Ovis aries: one gene and its partner. The protein of the gene in region 2 purifies or fractionates together with the protein of the main gene of each other region. This does not show direct contact. Links are inferred from orthologs where the notes say so. Each region holds a gene or a part of one and is shown on either strand. Other genes may lie near its edges.

The links. The genes of interacting proteins can lie anywhere in the genome.
Region 1: the proteins of EN1 (region 2) and transducin-like enhancer protein 1 purify together in Homo sapiens (affinity purification with western blotting; 4 studies listed by BioGRID and IntAct, with this or other methods). This does not show direct contact. The link is inferred for Ovis aries from reciprocal best matches to the Homo sapiens genes EN1 and TLE1.

Annotation. Positions count from the first base shown.
Region 1 is NC_056055.1:55,247,853-55,251,498, reverse strand, and holds part of transducin-like enhancer protein 1, read right to left. Parts: intron 2,907-3,646; coding exon 2,843-2,906; intron 2,729-2,842; coding exon 2,684-2,728; intron 1-2,683. UniProt on the Homo sapiens protein: Transcriptional corepressor that binds to a number of transcription factors. Inhibits NF-kappa-B-regulated gene expression. Inhibits the transcriptional activation mediated by FOXA2, and by CTNNB1 and TCF family members in Wnt signaling.
Region 2 is NC_056055.1:184,154,707-184,159,133, forward strand, and holds the start of EN1 (homeobox protein engrailed-1), read right to left. Parts: upstream 2,860-4,427; 5' UTR 2,818-2,859; coding exon 1,920-2,817; intron 1,023-1,919; exon of another isoform or gene 897-1,022; intron 1-896. UniProt on the Homo sapiens protein: Required for proper formation of the apical ectodermal ridge and correct dorsal-ventral patterning in the limb.

The DNA of each region.
Region 1 (3,646 bases), about 130 Mb from region 2:
AGGGGAAGGCTTATCAGGAAGTGTTGACACAACATAAACACGGACTGCAGGCACCAAACCAGCTAAGGAAACCACAATTACACCATTCTTGATCTGGATGTACTTCCACATTCAAACTTCCAGACGGAAAAGGTGGTGGTGAGATTTGACACTGAAATCTCTCAAACTCACCCCTCAACAAAACCGCTGAAAGGTGGGGAGGAGAGCGGTCGTCACACTGGAGACAAATCTTAACAACATTAAAGCACTCTCCATGGAAAGTTTCCCCATCACTACCTTTTTTTTTTTTTCCAGTAACAAAGATGTTGTCAGAAATGACAATTTTTTGTGTCCCCTGATGATGCCTTGCTAGCATTTGGTTATAAGCCATAAAGCAGGACTAATTTCAGCCTGTCAGGAGTCTTGCTAATGCCCAGTTTCCCCCTAGAGAGAATTCCTGTCAAATCTAATGAGAGCTCCAAAGGCCCTCTCTACAATATAATGAGCACTTAGGCCATGCTGGTGATCAGGCGGCAAAAAGCATCAATTTGAGCCTGGCTACACCCTGGGGGCCAGACGTCACCAGTTTTAATAAGAATTATGATTACTAGCTGCACCAAATGCCTCCTCAGAACTTATTATTAATGTGTGACATTCAGAAGGATGTTTTTCAAATGTAAGGCCACTTTAAACTGAATTACAGCACGGCTTTGCATACTACTCTAGTTAAGGGTCTGTCAGCATTTACAATACAAACCAAATTTCAGGGGGCTTAATATCCTACTATGGAGAACACAACATCTCTCAGCTTTTCACATTTTTCAAATTACTGAGCCAATTATACACAGCATATTATTAACGCATACTGGCTCATGAACAGACAGTATATACCCACAAATGCCCAATGGAGTCCAGAAACTCATTAGAAAACTAGTTTCACACCATGGGGCTCCTGATCCTCCTTCTCTCTTCTTCCTTTTGATAGAGGTCCTCCACCAAGTAACCTACAGGAACCCAGGAGAATTTCGCACCTCCCGTAGCTCCCCCAATAAATCCAGCACCAATACACATCATACAGAGGTGGCGTTCGCCTGTACGGAGTCAGTGAGGTTATTACATCCTTTGAGTTATGAGTTTAAGAGAAAGCTCAATCTCCTCCTTACCCTTCCAGAAAATTTGTTGGGGGGAAAAAATGTGCCTTTAGGGTAACTTTAAAAAAACAAAGCGGCACATTAGAACTCCTCCACCAAGTTTATTTGCATAATTCATTTAAATGACCATATACCTTTTAGTATAATTACTATCAACAAGTTACAATTGCCTCAATCAGGCACCGGCCCCTTTAAGCACACAGAAACAAAGACACAAACCCAACAGAAACTAGGCTACCAACTTTGCAAATCAGAATAGAACTGGCATTTTTAAAGGCCCATTACATTGCTAATGAAAAGCCTTGAACTTAACCATCTCCTTCCAAACACATATCTAAGAATAGACCTAAGGTACATGATGATAACATAACATTATGAAATCTATGATGAATTAAAAATCAAAGAGTGCGGAGTTACAAAAGCAGAATTCAACTCTGAAACACACTTGCTTAATGAAAGTCTTTGAATATAAGGAAGATCTGAAGGCTGAACTAATCAATTTCTCCACTGTGCCCCAGCCGGTCAGCCATGCTCTTTAATTTAATGAAACAAGGGTTTGAGATGAAATAGCACATATACATCAAGTAAGAATTGTATTGTTGCACTTTGAAATGTGTCCAACTGTGCAACTTCATCTGATGATAATTTTTTAAGAGGCAATCGATTTCTAAAAGACTTATTGTACCAGAGTCTTGATGAAAAAGTGAATGTCAGCATATCTCCAGAATACTTACACCCTGCCATTAATGCTTTCTTTGGCAGACAATGACTACTCAATCGAGAGTCCTTTGGGCTGAGCAATCATTTAGCTTTTCTTCTCTTATGAGGTCCTTAGTGCCTTGTTCCAGCTCAATACTCTTTTTATACACCATTATTGTAGCCATAAGTGTGAATTTTATGGGAACTTGCAAACTCATAGTCATAGCTTGAGCTTTCCAGTCACTAATCTTTTCATGCTTTTAAAACCACTAGGACTGAAGCAACTCACAACATACGCTGTGGTCATAAAAGGATGCTTTTTTCACCTCCAAACTTGTATCAACTGAGACATTTATTAAAAAGTTGTTTGCAAATATGCCGCTAATCCTGAGTGTCGCTTTATGCAGCCCCCAAAACTCCATAGTCTGTCTTATACCTTGTTTAACCTGAGTAAAGAAACTCCTGATTACCCGTCTTTCCCCCAAAGGGCCACACTTCTTTCCAAATCAGCACAAAAACGTTAGCTATTCTGAACTTCAGAACTTGACAGGATATCCAGGTCTTCCAAGAGAATAAATGTATCCAGGCAGTAAAGTCAAGTCAAAGCCTCGATTCCAATCTGCCTATAAACAGGCTAGTTTACACTTCCAAAGCACCTCTCACCTAGTAACTTAAAACATTTTATAACTGTCAAGAACCAGCTCTTGCTGCAGAACACTAACCCCCAATTCGCAGGAAGGGAAACCAAGGCTGAAATATGGCATGCAGATACCTCCCACTACAGAGGACAAAGCCAGTACTACAGAATCATGACTTTATTTCTCATTTCAACTTGAGACTTCACTAAAGCTTACCTGTTTATGCATTTCTATGTTTAATCCATATGACATTTCATAATACTGTAAAAAGAAAAAAGAACCAAGTATTTCATTAACTCATGTTCTGTAATGCCGAGAACACATATTTGTTACTATTACATGACAACGGAAAAAAACCTAATCTTTGATACCTACCATCACATAGTGCCTCTGCATTTCTGTCTTTTCACTTGCCAGTTTCTCACATTCCAATTTAAGGCTACGAAAACAAAACAGGCAACTTAATGTAAACATTATGTCACTTGTTTTAACATCTGCCTCACATATTTGCACTTCAAGTAAAAACACAGACCAATTTGGAAAAGCCATAAACTATCTAGGTAAACACCCAAAAGCTTTGTCCTTGCATTAAATGGGGAAAAGGAGTAAGAGGAATAGTGCAAGGTATCCACTTAAAAACTAAGCTTTTCCTTCTTCATGCACACCTGGTCTGATGCCAAGACCAAAAGATCTGTCAAAACCTCTGATCTACTCAGAAGACTGAATTCTCCTCATGGTCATCTATTCACTCCTACTTGCTTCACTGCATCAAAGTTCGCTTCCCTGGACTTAACCAAAATCTGGCCTTTGTATAACCTTCAGTCTCAGGCATAGGCTGTGTCACCTCTGCCAACTCAGTCTCTTGGTTTGAAAACTGTACCTGTAAAGTTACTTCTACAATTGTTGGTCCCTTTTAATACCTTTATTTTTTAATTCACTGCCAAAATATGTCATATAGCTTCTGCAATTAAAGTGGGCTGACATCCTCCCTTCCTGGCAAACATGGTGTGGGCAGGGATGCTTCAAGCTCTAGAGATTATTATCTTCAAGTAGACAAAGGTCAATAATCAGAAAGCCTCTGACAAAAATAAGAAAGTTCACACCCAAGCAGCTGTGTGCTTTCTTGGGGGCATGATAAAAACAAAACCTGTCATTACAGTTATTTCTTAGCTCTAATCA
Region 2 (4,427 bases):
CCTCCACAAGTAAGTCTTCTCTGGCATTTACTTGCTGGGCCCTGTCATGATTATGGGAGCTTCCCGAGCTGCGCGAAGTCCCTATCTGGCCTGTTAACCTCTAAAATTGTCTGGAAAGAAGGGTCTGCACCGGCATCTCCAAACCTAGTGGCAGAGGGGTAAACCAGGCAGCTGGCCTCTGGGGCAGTCCAGCGCCAGGGGTCACCAGCTGTCCTGTGACAAAAGAGTCCAGGCCTGGCCGACCACCGCAACTCAAGACTGGGTTGAGGTTCCTCTCCCTCAACTGCCCCTGCAGGATTAGAAACCAGCACCCTGCCTCCCCAGGTTTGTAAGAAGGAAAGCAGCCAAGAACAAAGACAAGGCCCACTCCTGAGCCCGATGCAGAAAGCACTGGGAGGCGGGGTGAGGGGCCAGGAAGGCCTTGGTTTAGGTTAGTAATTAGCTGGTCGAGCAGAAGTGGCCCAGGAAATGTGTGCAACCTCAGAAAGGCCCCATTGTGAGACGGGCATCCCTTAGGTTGTTAGAGCATTGTTGCAATTGTTTTGTTGTTGTTGTTGTTGTTACTGTGTGTATGGGTGCCCTTGCAGAGGCATGAACACTTGTAATAAAATCGTAGCCTCCTGGCCAGCCTGAGCGGCACAGCCTGACAGCTCAATCACTCTATCCATCAGGCGAGTCAATCAAAGCAGCTTTTCGGAGGTTCAGGGAGCCCGATGTGTCAATAACGGGGCTCGAGATGGCGGGGGCTGATAGCGCTCATCGATCCGCGCCCGGCCAGCAGCGGTGGGAAGTCAGAGACCACTCGGAGTGGAGCGCCACACGGCGACGCCAGCCCGGCCTCCTGCCAGACCCAGGCGCGGAACCCCAATCGTAGACCAGAACCCCTGCCGCCCTCCTCGAGGCGCCCATCAGCCTCCTGGGAGCTGCGGTCCCCGGAGGCGGGCAGGCCACAGCCTCCTCTCCAGGGGCCTCGTGGCTGCCCCTGAGTACCTCTCGGCCTGGGGTTCTCCAAACTCAAAGAGGTATGTGGGGAAAGGCCAAAGGAAAATTGAGAAAAATGGGCCCATGGCTGGCAGAAATTTGCTAACGGGCAGATGTACGGAAGGAAGGAGTGAAAAAAGGAAGGGGCAGGGCCCGGGAGGATGTGCCAGGCGGCCACGGAGAAGCTGAGGTGGGGGCTGGCTCTCATGCCCTCGGCCCAGGTCTCTGGCCTGAGCCTAAGGTATTTTCTGTCCTCTCCCTCGTTTATCTGTCAGTTCCAGAGAATCGGGAGCCAGGGGCTCTCGGCACCCGCTGTTTCCGAAACCGCCTTTCCCTGGATTCTACCCAGGCGGGTCAGGCCCTTTTGGCTACCCGGCTTGCCGAAGAAGGACAGCTATCAGACACGTTTCTCTTTCTTCCTGTGTCTCCTTACATCTATCTCTTTGCAAATGATCTCTCCGCAGAAAATATCGATACAGTGTTTATGTCTGCAACGACACAAAGCGAAGATAATTTCTCTAATCAAAGCCTTGCTCAGTTTCGGCCTCCGCAGGATTTGAGACCCAGATCGCTAGGCCCACCTTCCCGCTGATTCTAAAAACCCCTTTTCCTGGAAGAAAAAGCAATGACTGATTGGGTGTTTACTAAGAATAATAAAGGTAAAACACAAAGAAGGCGAGAAGGGCTCGGAGTTCAAAATCGAAGGATCCACTCCCTGTAACCCTGAGCCGTAACCTCCCAGGTGGTAGTCGCAGAGCCCGGGAACGCAAAACTCGGTATAACAGTCGGTAGTGACTGGAATCGAAGGTGAAAATGAGAGAGCAGGCGTGAGAAAAGAGAACCCTCGGGATCCGGCCCGCACGCTCTCCCCAGCCCGGCGGCTGAGAGTTCTACCGGCGTCTGCCTGTTCACCGCGCAGCCTAGGGCTGGGTACTCACCGGAGGACGGGCGATCGGAGTAGCGCGTGCAGTAGACCCAGGCGGGCCACACGAGGGGTTGCTGCGAGTCAGTTTTGACGACGGGCCCGCCGTTGGCTGAGCCCATTAGCAGTATGGCCGGGTTGCTGTGCTCCGGGTACTTGGCACCCTGCGCACCTGGACTCCCCACGCCGCCTCCACTGCCACCGCCGTTGTCCGAAGGCTTGGCCGCTGCTGCCGCCGCCGCCGCCGCCGCCACGGCCGCTGCTGCAGCCGCTGCCGCCGCCGCCGCCGCCGGGTTCCCAGCTTTGGACGCGCCCGCGCCGCCGGCGGTGGCTGGCGGGGAGCCGTCGGGTGGGCCACAGTTCCCGTCCGCGGTGCACAGGAGTGAGGCGGCGCCTGGCGACCTCGTACCCAGCGGGTGGACGGGGTCTCTACCTGAGCCGGTCTGGCCTCTGTCACGCTCGACCCGGCCTCCGCCTGTGCCTCCTCCGGCCGCCGCCGCCGCCGCCACCAGGAGCTGCGGCGGCGGCTGCTCCTTTTTGCAGCCGAAGTCCGGCCTCAGGATGTTGTCGATGAAAAAGTTGGTGGTGCGGTGCAGCTGGGCCGCGGGCTGCGGCTGGTGAGCAGGCGCCGCGAGATGCTGCTGCTGCTGCGGCGGCGGCGGCGGCGGCGGCGGGGGCGGGGGGTGCGGGGGGAGATGCGGGTGGTGGGCCAGGGGCGGCAGGCAGGGCGCCGTGGGCGGCGAGGGGGGCGCAGGCTGTGGGGACACCGGCACGCTGTCTCCATCGCTGCTGCTGCTGCCGCTTGCGCCGGGGCTGAGACTCAGGGTGAGGCTGCCGGGGGCCGCCGCCACCGCCGCCGCCGCGCCGAGGCCCGAGTCGCGCTGACTTTTAGGTTCCGGCTGCTGTTCTTCCATGCTCGGCCGCCCCGCCGCCTCGGCCGCCGCGCCGGCCCCCGCCCCCCCCGCCTCGCTCCCCACCCCACTTTGCCAGCGGCCCGTGGGGGTGTGCGGAGGAAGGAGGCCGGCAAAGCCCCAGCGAAGGCACGGGGCGGGTGCAGAAAAAAAAGCCCAGGCGCCTGGCCTGGATCTCTCGCTCTTATCGAGCAGATCTCGCTGTCTCTCTCTAATTTGTAGATATCCAGATATGGAGACACTTGGCTATTTCTTTTTTCTTTCTGCAACCAGAATCAATTTGTTTTAAATGGGGAGTAAGCCACGGCTAAAAATAAAGAAAAAAAAAAAACAGGAAAGGAAAAAGCAAGAAAAAAATCTCCAAGAATTTTTTTTTCTTAAAGATAAAAAAAAAAAATAGTCTTTAAAGTCTAGCCATTTTCCTAGGCAGTAGTGAGGGGTTTGACTTCCCCGAGTGTCACGCTCAGCTGTGCCCAGAGCGCGAGGCTGGCAGCGCCTTTAATCGCCTTTGCTTTTTTTGCAGGGAGAGCGCGTCTCCGCCAGCGCCGGGGCTGCTTTTTTTTTTTTTTTTTTTCAAATCTCTGACAGCTCGGATCTTTGCTCAAACTCTCTCGCTTAAAAAAAAATCACCCAGGCACACTTTTTGCCTTCAAACCGGAAGCACGTGAGTCAGGGCCGCACGTGTGCGGGGCCAATGGCGAGCCAGGACTCGCGCTGACACCCGGGCCTCGGCCCAATAGGCGCGCGCGGGACTTTGCGGATAAATAATCCGGGGGCGGCGGCCGCGGGCGGAGAGGGGGAGCCGCGGCGCGGGCCCCGTGTGTCCGGCCCTCCCTCCCTTATCCGCACCCGAGCCCCTCCCCCTCTTTCAGGCCAGGACCGAGGAAGGGGCAAAGGAGACCGAGAAGGGGTGGATTGCGGGGTGTACGCAAATAGACAACTCCATAAACAACTTGTTGGAGAAATGCAGAATTATGAGTGCGTCCGTACAGGCGCAGGATCAGGAGGCAGCGGCATCGGCTCTTTTGGCAACCCCCATGCCTAAGAAACAGCCGTTTATTTTCTCGCTCTAGCTTTTTCTTGCTCGTTATTAAGGGTGAAAGAGTGCTATCACTGTCGGAGTCTGTGTGTATATGGTGTGTGTTTGGGGAGTGGGGGGTGTGGGGTGGGGAGAGGTGAACCGAGGGTGGTCGGAGACGTGAAACAGACGTAGATTTGGCTACTTTCAGTGGAGCGGTTTATTTTTCACAAGTAGCAAACGCCAGCGGCCAGCTGCGCCTAGCTAGGTTTGTAGGGTTGTAGTGGATGTTGGCCGGCTGCACTGCGTGCCCTTCCCGGGGTTTCCGTACCCATGCCCTTCCCTGGCGGGACCTTTGACAACCCCTAGGAGCTGTCCCGCCGCCATTAAGCCAGGTCCAGAGGGCGCGAGAGAGTCCTTTTCTGGCCGCCAGAGTCGAGCGGTCCGGGCACCTTACAGTTGTCCTGAGCCAAGTAAGTCAGGGTGCGGATACCCCCGAGGCCCTGGCTTTTGAGCTCAGGGAAACCTCCGTTTTCTATTTCCACGCGAAGTGAAATCCAGCGGATAAAAGTACTGCACTCTTGGTATTTGCCCT